Notamacropus eugenii: one gene and its partners. The protein of the gene in region 2 purifies or fractionates together with the protein of the main gene of each other region. This does not show direct contact. Links are inferred from orthologs where the notes say so. Each region holds a gene or a part of one and is shown on either strand. Other genes may lie near its edges.

The links.
Region 1: the proteins of PML (region 2) and ZMYM2 purify together in Homo sapiens (affinity purification with western blotting; 3 studies listed by BioGRID, with this or other methods). This does not show direct contact. The link is inferred for Notamacropus eugenii from reciprocal best matches to the Homo sapiens genes PML and ZMYM2.
Region 3: the proteins of PML (region 2) and ZFYVE9 purify together in Homo sapiens (affinity purification with western blotting; 3 studies listed by BioGRID and IntAct, with this or other methods). This does not show direct contact. The link is inferred for Notamacropus eugenii from reciprocal best matches to the Homo sapiens genes PML and ZFYVE9.

Annotation. Positions count from the first base shown.
Region 1 is NC_092876.1:186,829,408-186,833,152, reverse strand, and holds the start of ZMYM2 (zinc finger MYM-type protein 2), read right to left. Parts: upstream 2,593-3,745; 5' UTR 2,485-2,592; intron 1,453-2,484; 5' UTR 1,385-1,452; intron 1-1,384. UniProt on the Homo sapiens protein: Involved in the negative regulation of transcription.
Region 2 is NC_092872.1:242,512,062-242,515,806, forward strand, and holds the start of PML (protein PML), read right to left. Parts: upstream 2,933-3,745; 5' UTR 2,857-2,932; coding exon 2,839-2,856; exon of another isoform or gene 2,826-2,838; intron 2,596-2,825; coding exon 2,471-2,595; intron 1,593-2,470; coding exon 1,361-1,592; intron 1-1,360.
Region 3 is NC_092873.1:512,294,824-512,298,568, forward strand, and holds the start of ZFYVE9 (zinc finger FYVE domain-containing protein 9), read left to right. Parts: upstream 1-1,145; 5' UTR 1,146-1,233; intron 1,234-1,401; exon of another isoform or gene 1,402-1,556; intron 1,557-3,745. UniProt on the Homo sapiens protein: Early endosomal protein that functions to recruit SMAD2/SMAD3 to intracellular membranes and to the TGF-beta receptor.

The DNA of each region.
Region 1 (3,745 bases), on a different chromosome or scaffold from region 2:
AGCTCTTCATTTGTGTTCAGTATCACAGTTAATATCCATCTGTCCTTCCGGTTTTTAAACAACTATAAGATTAAAAACACATGGGGAAAATATCTGAACACTAACCACCTTGAAGTATTTATGATTCAATGTTACCGAACACTAACCAGCTTGAAGTAGTTATGATTCAATGTTACATCAAAAAAAGGTGCTGAAAAAGAACAAGGTATCCAGCATAATTCAGGATCTTTATTTTTTACATTAACAGGTCCATCTATTGAAAAGAGTTGTTTATTATTAAATCTAATATTTTTAAAGATATTTATATTCCTTTTAAAAGAAAGGGCAAGAAAATCAAATTAATCATTAGCCTTACCTTCTTTAGAAATTGCTAGATGAGTTTGGAAGCTTTATTTCACACGTGTAATTTTATTCCATTTTAAATGCATTTATACATCCTTCCATTCTCAGAAATACTACACTTTAACATACGAAATTCAGTGGCTTTGGATTGGATGTGATTAACTTTTCTTGAGTATTTGGTGTTTACTGCATATTTATGCAATAACCTGCAAAACTGAAGCAGCGCCCCTAGCGAGAGTCCTATAAATCCCGATTAAACAAAATTCCATGGTTTCCCAAAATACATTGTTGAGAGGTATGGCGTTCACTTTTGTCACTTTATTACTTTATACTCTGGAAATCTTAGCTTTAAGGAAAAGAAAGTTTCAAACACAACGACAAATTACAACCATTAAAGTCTAATTCTCATTTAATAATCAATACAGAAAAATATATCTAACATCAAATCCAGAGACTTTGGAAATCAAGGCAAATAAGGATCTTAAGTCTGTTCAGCATTGCCACACACTAGGATGAAACCACGGCAGCTCTCGGCACCCGAACTCAAAGCTTTAGGAAGCGTCTCATCACCCACGCGACGACGGGACCTCCGTTTTTAAACAAACAGAACACCAAATAACAGATTCGTTTTCCTTCGTCCAGCGTCTCCTGTGCCTTCTCGGCCAGAAGCGGGTGGCAGAGATGCCTAGGGCATCTCCCCAGCTCATCTTGAGTCGGCTCCGGTTCCCACCCGCAGACTCTAGGGGGCACCAGCCAAGTGCCCTCCCCCCGGTAACGTGAGCAGCTGCAGCCCGTCGTCGGGGGGCTCGGGCCGCTCTCGCAGCCGCAGGAGCCGCGTCGGTGGCGGCCGGGCCACAGAGCCCACCCCCGCCGCCTTCCCAGCCAGTCCCGGGTCTTCGCCCCAGGGGCAGCTACCACCCGAGCAATGGCTCCTCCTTCTCAAGACAACAGAGGCCGGCGGCGAATCCCGGAGGTTTAACACCCCCCCCTCACCCCGGGGCTAGGCCCGCAAAAGGAGACAAATAACGAGAAAAGGACTCACAATGGGGGACTCTCCTCCGTAGTTTCGGCCAAAGCTGGGCCAGATGGGGCTGGAAAGGATTTCTGGTCCTACGAAAACAGAGAAGAGATTTGAACGAGAATCAAGTGGCCCCAATAAGGCCGCGTCCCCCCGCCCTGGGGGTGGGGGTGGTGGAGGTCGGGCCTCATTTCCTCCCCTCCGAGCCCCGAGGGCCACCCCCCACCCCCCCGCCCCGGCGCCCGGGCCAGGTCTAGAGAGGCGACATGGGCCAGCACGCATCCGCGCCCTCTGCTCTGGGAGGGGGAAGCCAGAGCCTCGACGCCAGGAGGGAGAGGACGTTCCTTCCGAAGGGGGCCCTGCCGGCCTCCTCTTCCACGAATCCAGACGTCCGCACCGCACTCCCGGACACTCACGTCACCGCCGGCCCGCGATCTCCCCATCTGCCCCCAGCAGTTGCCCCGGGCCCGGGGTTGGCCCCCCCTGCAGTCGGCGGCCGGCAGCGCTGCCTCCCCGTCCGCCATTAGAGACCCAGGCAAACAATACGGGAGACGCAGGAGCGTCGCAGGGCAGCGCCTGGGACGGCGGGGGGCCGACGACCGGGTTCTCCGTGGGGAAAGGGGGCAGCCCCCCAACAACTCCGGAGAAATAGCGGCGGCAATAGCCCGCCCGAGGCGGGGGGAACCCGGGTCCCCACCGCCGCCGCCCCCCTCCAGCTCCCTCAGCGTCACCTCCCCCCTCAGAAACCGAGACGGAAAGGAAAAATACCCCGGCCTCCGAACGCCCCGACTGCCAAACCCGCGGGGCTGCCCCCTCCGCGGCCTCGTCTCCCCGCCGGCGCCCGGCCCTGCCCCTCGCTCAGCCCCGGGGCCCGGCGGACCGGGCCGTGCTGCGCCGCAATGGGCCTCGGACCCGAGAGGAGGGAGAGACCCCGGGGCAGCCCCCGAGGCCCTGCACGGCCGCAGCGCCGCACTACGGGGTAACAAGCCGGAGGAGGTGGGAGGCTCCTTCGGTGGCTCACCCGTCTCCGCCTCTCCAGTCGCCTCCTCCGGAGGCAGTGCTGCCCCCAGCCACCCCCACCATCAGCGGACCGAGCTGGGGAAAGAGTGGGGGATAATCCTCACCCGGTTCTGGCTGCGGCTCCACGGAACGAACCTCCCCTCCCCCGCCCCACCCCCCCCTTCGGTAACACGCACAACTCCACTCGGTCCAGTCCCGGGCTAAGCGCTGGCGAGGAGGAGGAGGAGGCGGCACAACCGAGCCCCACGAGGCTCCGCCTACCCGGACGAGGACTGGCTGCCGGGAGGCACGGGCGGGGGTGTTTAGAACGCGTCAATTGGCCAGCAGGATAATCTTTCACCGTCCCGCCTTCGCAGGGTGGTCTAAAAGGTCGTCCGTCAAACTTTGGCCACGCCCAGAGTCCCCCCTTCCACTCCTCCCCCTCTCCCCCAAACCCCCTCCCCCATCCTCATTCCCTCCCCACCCCAACCCCCCGCTGGATCTTTCTGGTTATGGCAAATGTGAATTTGGTTGCCCACTACCACCAGCCCAGGGTTGCTACTTAGGGGCACAGGCGGGTGAAAACAGAAGCTGTGGCAAATGGGAATGGGACTAAGGGGCCCTTCTGTCTTCACCCAGGCCTGGGCACTCAATCTTGTGCAGCAACTGCAGCAGCTAAAGAACTCTCCCTACAGGAATAAGTGGGGAAAGACACCAACAGCCCAGATGCCCCCAAATCCTTTTCCCCACCCCGACTCCAATCTCCCTTACGCCCCCGGAGATGGGGCAAGAAGTGGACAGGAGCTGCCATTGGAATGCCAGGCTAAAGGGAAGGGATGGGGTAAAACTCTTCAAGCCTCTTGAGGGAAGGGGAGCTTCACTCTTTCTAACCCTCTCCCCCCCCATGGGGAATACCCCCCTTTCCCTCCCCTCCTTGTCATGGCTGCAGGAGGAGGAGACGGCGTCCTCCATTTTGTCGGAAGCTGCTGTGGGAACTTGGGACCAATTCAAAACCAAACCCAGTGGGGCTAAAGCCACTTCCCCCTCTAAGCCCCAGCCTGGAGCGGTCGTTTGACCGTGGGGGCATTCCCTGCCTCGAGCATGTGGAGGTGAGGGGCTAGAGGAAGCCAGAGGGCTTGGAGAGGGAGGTGAGAGATCAAGGCGCTCCTCCCCGCCTCCATCAACCAAAATGGAGGAAGCTGCGGACTCCCCTGAAGCCTGGACTCCCGCTTGTTGGAGGGGCTGGAGCTTTCCCCTTGGTCTGTCACAAGACGGTGCAGCTCCCTCCGCCCCGGCAGCCTCCTCGCCTCCTCCTGCTCCCCCGTTCTCAGGCGGCCGTCTCAACAGCCTTCCACCACCTCTGGTCGTCCAAGGTTGGCTGGAGCT
Region 2 (3,745 bases):
CAAACCTAGCCCCCTCATTTGACACAGGGGGAAACTGAATCCCAAGGTCATAAAGTTAGGACAGAAGAGATTCAAGATGAAAACTTTGATCTCCTGGTTCAGTTGAAGGAGAACTGACTCCAGAGTCAGAGGGTCGTGGGTTCAAATCTCACCTCCTCTGTGAGTTCAATTGGGCAAATCCCTTACCCTCCTCAGGACTCGCTTTCTTCAAGTGTAAAATAAAGTGGTTTTAACTGACTGTCTCAGAAGGTCCTTCCAATCCTGCATCTATGAACTTATGATTTCCTAAGCCTTAGACCAGGGCTCTTTCCTTCCTAGATCCAGTTGATTCCCTAGAAAAGCTGCCTAAAGGCACAGAGGTACAGATAAAGCCCAGGACTTGGAGTTAGGAAGCTGCTGTTCAGTTGTTTTTCAGTGGTGTCCAAATGACCCCATTTGGGGTTTTCTTGGCAAAGTTACTGGAGTGGTTGGCCATTTCCTCTTCCAGTTCATTTGACGTATGAGGAAACTGAGGCAAACTGGGTAAAGTGACTTGCCCAGGGTCACACAGCTAGTAAGTGTCTGAGGTCAGATTTGAACTCAGGAAGATGAGTTTTCCGGATACCATCCCAGCACTCTATCCACTGCATCACCTAGTAGTCCATGGAGTCAGGAAGACCTGAGTTAAAATTCTACCTTGGATATCTACCAGGATCCTGGGCAAGTCACTTCACCTATTTGCCTCAGTTTTTTCATCTGTAAAGTGGGGATGATAACAGCACCTACCAGAGTGGAACAAATGAGATAACAATTGTCAAGGGCTAAGTATGACTCCTGGCACATAATAGACACTATGTAAACGCTAGCGATGACAATTACTCTTAATTACATGAAATTATAACGGTAAAGCACTTAGCACAGTACCTGGCACACAGTAAGCTCTATGTACAAATTGTTGTTGTCAGTTCAGATCTTCAGATAATCACTAGCTGAGTGACCTAGGGCAAGTCACTTCATTTGGTCTGCCTCAGTAAAATGGGGGTGCTGATAATAGCTTCTGCCTCCTAGGTGGTTGTGAGGCTCGACTGAAATATTTGTGAAGCTCTTAGCACAGGGCCTGGCACACAGTAGCACACAGCTATACCCAAGCTGGTTATTTTTATTCTTATTAAATGAGATAATATTTGTAAAGTCCTTAGTACAGGCCTGGCTATAGAAGGTACACTAGCAATCGTCACTATTGTTATAGAATGCAATGCTCTCTGTAAAGCGCCCGGCACACAGTAGGTGCTTCATGAATGCGAACCCCTTCCTTCTTGTCTCCCAGGTTCCCACCCTTCAGGTGAGTTACCTGGCCCCAGGTACCTGCCCCCGCCCTCACCTCCTCGGTGCTGGCGCGGGCTTTGGTGCCGCCGCTGGTGCTGGCTTCGGGCTGGCTAGGACTCACCGGCTCGTTGGGGAAGGTCCAGGTGGAAGCCGTGGCCACCGACACCAGGATGGGAGGAGGAGGGGACGAAGGTGGTGGAGGGTCTGCCATCTGGTCGGGCTTGGTGGAGGTGGCCCGCTCCGAAGTCATGGAAAGCTCCTCACAGTTTCGATTCTCAGCAGGTGACCTGGAAGGAGCGGGGCGGAGAGGGTCAGAGGGAGGCAGCGAGGGATGCGCATTGGGGGAGCCCGGCATCTGGGAGGAGCACCCCGCGAGCCCGCCTACCTTGGAGGCTGACGTTTTAGAACACCGAGGGGAAGAAGGGGGGGTGAGGGAGGGAGAAAAGAGGAGGAAAGAGAGACGGGAGGGAGAGGGAGTGAAAAAGAGGAAAGGGAGAAGGGAGGAGGAGAGGAAGATAAAAAGAGGAGGAAAGGGCAGGGAAAGGAAAGAAAAAGGAGAAAGGGAAGATAAAAGAGGAAGAGAGAGATAAGAGGAGAAGGGGAGGAGGAAGGAAAAAAGGAGGGGAGGGAAGGAAGAAGAGGAGGATGGGAATAAAAAAGATGAGGAGGAAGAGAAGGGGAAACAGGAGGAATGTGGGGAGGAAGATGGGGAGGAAGATGAGAAGGAAGACGAAAAGGAGAAGAAACGGAGAGGGATGGGTCTGGTCCAGTGGGTACTGCAGGGGCACCTGCACTGGGTGGGCTCCAGGGAGGTCCCTGACCCTTCTTGAGTCCTAGGGATGGAGGCAGCCCACAGTCCCTCCAGCTCACAATGATCAAGGGCAGAGACAGGTGCTGATGCTGATGCTGAGGGAGGAGCCCCGGGAGTCGGGGCTGCCCGAAGGGGACAGGGGAGGAAGGTGCAGGGTTACGTGGTCAAGCTGGGTACCGAGAGCCGGCAACAGAAGCTGTTGTCAAGCAACAGAGACCCCCAGGGTTCCTGCAAGATGCTCCTGCCTTCTCTGTCTGAGCCGAGAGGCTAAGCCAGGGGGCGGGGTGAGGGGGGCTTGACAATTGGGGGAGGCAGGGGATGGGATGAGGGATGGGAAGCAAAGGGCAGCCTCACCCTGACTCCTCGTTCTGGGACATCTGGCCTCCTTGGACTGGACCGACCTGGGAGGATGGCAGTGCAGGATGCAGTTCCGGATGACAATGATCTCCGACCCCCTCTTTCGCACCCTGAGTGCTGTTCTGGGGAGAGAAGAAAAAAGCTTCAGGAGGTGACAGATCCCTGCCCGCCGGGAGCTCCCAGTCAAGCTGGGGAGCTGAGACAGACAAGGGAGAGGGGCTAGAGAGAAGGATTACGGTCCTGCTTAAATTGCAGTCTTTTCATCTATCCACCTCCCTCTTCTCTCCCTTCTCCCTTCCTCCCTTTTCTTCTTCCCCCCTTTCCTTCTTCCCCCCTCTCCTTCTGCACATACTCAATTGTACCACCTCTGTACTTGTGCTCATTGAACGAGGCCTGCTCCCCCTCCTCAACCTTCAAGATGGAGCCTTCTCTGACCACCACTGCCAACGCTGATCTCTGAATCATAGTATGTAGGAGACGGAAGGGACTCCCGCCCCGCCCCCACTTCACCCCCACCCCTTTCACACAATCTCAAGAGCCGGAAGGATAGTCCAGCCCCCTCGATTTACAGATGAGAAACTGGATGTTTAAGAAAGGTTCAGCGACTTCAGGAGGGTCACCCAGCAGGTTAATGATAGACCTTGGACTCCACCATTGGTCTGCCAATTCCAGTATCCAAATCCCAAGCAACGTGGCGGTACAAGCCAAAGATCGCTGAATTTGGAAGCGGGGGGCTTCACATTCCCTTCTCTGCTGCTTATTATCCGTGTGACTTTGGACAAGTCCTTTGATTTCTCTGAGATGCCTCAGTTTCCCCAGTTCCCTGAAGGGGAGATTGGACTAGGTGGTCCCTTAGAATGTCTGATTTGCTACCTCCTGTTGCACATGGATGGATTCTACACCGTAGTTCAGCTGTAGCTTTCTAATCCTGTTATTTCTTGACTCCTCAACCAAAGTGTGAGTCCCCAAGGACTGGTCCAGGGGTGGAGAACCTTCGAAGCTGAGGGCCTCCATGTGGCCCCACAAGTCCCCAAGTGTGACCCTTTGACTGAATCCCATGGATTCCACAAGTTCCCCACCCCCAGACTGGTCTAATGAAAGCGTTTACTGAACTCCAACTATGTGCTAGATGCTATGTTAGGGAATTTATGGGAGATCTAAAAATAAATATAACATAATCTCAGCCTTTAAGGAGTTTGTAAGAGTAAGAGTAAGTTCTTAATCACTTACAAAAGGCTTCACATTTCTTTTTTTTTTTTTTTCAATAAATAT
Region 3 (3,745 bases), on a different chromosome or scaffold from region 2:
AGGCAGGGACAGTGGCCGTGTTGCCTTCCATTACTAGCGCCTAGGAGGGGTCTTCATGGTGACGGGATGCCTGGAGGCCGAGCCAAAAGCCTTCCCTTGAGGAATCCTCCCAGCACATCAGCCTTGGTGCTGGGCTAGGAGCCCCCTTCTCCCTGGGGGCGGAGCTAGGGGCCAGGCTGGGACCCTTCTGCTCCTTTGGGGGCGGAGCTGGGGGGGGGGCCTCTGCTCCTTTGGGGGCGGAGCTAGGGGCCAGGCTCGGACCCTTCTGCTCCTTTGAGGGCGGAGCTGGGGGGGGGCCTCTGCTCCTTTGGGGGCGGAGCTGGGGGGGGGCCTCTGCTCCTTTGGGGGCGGAGCTGGGGGGGGGGCGCCTCTGCTCCGTTGGGGGCGGAGCTGGGGGGGGGGGCCTCTGCTCCTTTGGGGGCGGAGCTAGGGGGCCATGCTCGGACCCTTCTGCTCCTTTGAGGGCGGAGCTGGGGGGGGGGGGTCTCTGCTCCGTTGGGGGCGGAGCCTCTGCTCCTTTGGGGGCGGAGCTGGGGGCCAGGCTCGGACCCCTCTCCTCGCTCCTGGCCCTGGGTCTCCGATTGCCTCTTTTGGGACTGGCAGGGATAGTAGCCCGTCTCCAGCCCCATCCCCTCAAGGGGTCGGAGCTGGGCCTCGGGCCCGCCCTCTAAGCCATGCCCGTGCAGGCTGGCCAAGTTGGCAGCGGCAGCTGCTAAGGCGGCGGCCGTGCTAAGCCTAGGTGGAGTGCGGCGGCAGGCGGCGCGGCCCGGCCCGGCCCGGCCCGGCCCCGCCCGCCTCGCCTCGGGCTCCCTCCGCCTCCCTCCTCCCCCCTCCCCCCTCCCTCCTCCCCCGCGGCCGCCCCGCCCCCGTCGGCGGCCGCCGCAGTCAGTCCGGGCGCCGTAGCCCGAGCCCCGGCCAGGGGGCGCTGCGGGGCGGGGCGGCCGCGGCGGCCGGAGGACCAGGACCAGGACCGGCACCGGAGCGGAGAGGGAGGACGGCCGGGCGGCAGGGGCGGCGGCCGGAGTTGCGCTCCCTCCTCGGTGCGGGAGTCCCTCGCTCGGGGCCCGGCCCCGGAGCCGGAGCCAGGGCCGGTCGGGCGGGGCCGGAGCCCAATGCGGAGCGGGCGGCGCGGGGCGGCAGCGGCGGCGGGCGCGGGGGCTGCGCCCTCCCCAGGCGGCCCCGGCGCGGGGGCCCCGGCCATGCGGACCCGGGCGGCGGGAGCGGCGGCCCGCGGTAAGTGCGCGCGCGGCGCGAGCCGGGGGGAGGGGGGCGCGGGAACGCGCGGCCCGCTCACGCACCCCGCCCGCGCCCGCGGGGGTCTCCGTGGGGGGCGGAGGGGCAGCCGCATCGGGGCCGGGGCGCGGGGGGAGGTGGCAGTGCCCGGGAGCCCGCTGCCCCCTCCCCCGCCGTCCCCTCGCCCACGGGCACACAATGCCCGGCACACGCAGGGATCCCGGCACCCAGGTCCACCCAGCGCGGGCCCAACCTACGCATATGTGAGCGGCCCCCCACCCCCACACATGTACGCGGCATATGCGGGCACGCAGCACTCACACGTACGTACGCATGTACGCCTTCCCGGACCCGCAGCCCCCCGCTGCCGGGGAGGGGGGGAGGGCTCCCCTGGGCCCCGGGTCCCCCTGTTGGGCCTCCCAGAGAGACCCCAGCCCTGCGGGCGGAGGGACTGTGTGTATGTTTGCGTGGGCTGCGCGTGGGCGCATGTGATGCCTCTGTGGGGAAATCCCCGGGCATCCTCGGGCGCGCCGGGGCTGGCACCTCGCCGGCATCCAGTTCGAGGCCCTGCCCGCGACCTCCTGGCCCTGCGGCTCGGGCTGCCCCGGCACCCCAGAGCCCCTTCGTGGGCAGGAGAACCTCCGGGAGCAACTGGTGCTTCGCCACCCCGCATTGCCCGGGGGCACCTGGCCTCCCCGCAGCCCCGAAGGCTGGCACCCCCCTAAGCCCTGCTTGGCGGCCCGGGGGCAGCCTCCAGTTGTGATAAAGAGGTGGGCTGGGCAGTGGGGGCTGTTCCGGAGCAGGGCAGGACCTCCCTGAGGAGTCCTCCAGGTTACTGCTAAGTAGGTCCAGATGATGAGTGGCGGAGGAGGGGTGGTTTTTTATCGCTCTAACTAGCCACTGAACAGGTACCAGATGGCAACGGAATAGATCTTAATTTTTAGAAATGAATTATCTTCTTTGCATATTAGTGGAAAAAGAACGTTACTGATTACAATGTGATACCATAAATAAGGTGTTCATGGAAAATGTGAATATAGCATTTTCTTGTCTTCACCTTGACCTACTGTGAATAGGTAAACGTCTTTTACAAAGAGTGACTTTGGAGAGAGGACATTTTCTACTTTTTGGATTGAAGCTTCAACGCTAGTTTGTCATTATTTGTGGTTTAATAGAGTACATAAGGTGTATCAACTTTATGACTTGGGAGACTTTATGATTCTATTATTTAATTGACTCAACCTTATATCCCCACTAAATTATTGGTATTAAAGAGATGTGCATTTGTTTCTGGGAGAACTTAGGTCATTAAAGGAGCTTTGTGATTTCCTGAAGGCAACCCAATTTGTTTTACTTTTGCTGTTTTATTTAAGTATATATATATATATATATATATATATATATATATATATATATATATATATATGTATGTGTGTTATTGATCAGTTGAGTTTGACTCTTGGTGACCCCATTTGGGATTTTCTTGGCAAAGATCCTGGAATGGTTTGCCATTTCCTTCTCCTGCTCCTTTACTGATTTGGAAACCTAGGCAAACAGGGTGAAGAGACTTGCCCAGGGTCATGCAGCTAGTAAGTGTCTGAGGCCGGATTTGAACTCAGATTTTCCTTCCTCCAGGCCAGGTGCTCTTTGTATTTAGACACCTAGCTGCTTAGTCTCATAGACAAACTCTCTAGGTTAGGTGAGACTCTGTGGTAAATTGAGGGAAACACCTGGACAAGAGGCACATGGGATTGAACGGCGTGGTGGGCTGAGATTCTGCAGTTGAAGCTCCTATCTAAAAGATTCCACATCCATTTGGGTGTTATTTCATTATCATTGTTCTAAACTAGAGAGCAATGGAACATGAAGATGAGATTTTATTGATCACACTATTGTAGTTGCAGCACCAGAAGGAACCTTCTGTGCTCTATTACATTATCTTTCCTCCAGACCATCCTGGTAAATTGGCCTTTCTTCGTTTCTTAAATATCTCCATGAGAGAATATTAGGCATCTTCCTTTGATAACCCACTGAAGTACTCAACAGATAGATTTTTGGTAAAAAATGAAAGTATTTCTATGTTTTCCCCACTCCTTCAACATTATTAAAATACGCTGGCACTTTATCAACTTACCTAGCTCAACCAGCTGTAGTATAATGTCCTTGTTCTTCAGGTGGGTTTCAGGATGGAAGTATGGCAGAACATCTCTGCAAATTCCACAAGGACTTGAGGTAGCACTAGGTTCAAATTTTACTTCTTGCTCTCTGTATGACCTTTGGGAAGTCTCTTGACTTGTACTGGGGAAATAAAGGGTTTGAATCAAATATTACCTCCAAAGGCTTCTATAGTCCTGCATTCTATCATTCAATCAATAGGCATTTATTAAGCCCCAGTTCCAAGTGCCAGGCACTGTGCTAGGGGATAGGGATATAGATCCAACAAATGACAGTCTATCCAAAGGAGGTGACAGTCCTGGGACCTTAGAAGAGGTGAGTGCCAGGAAGATTCTAG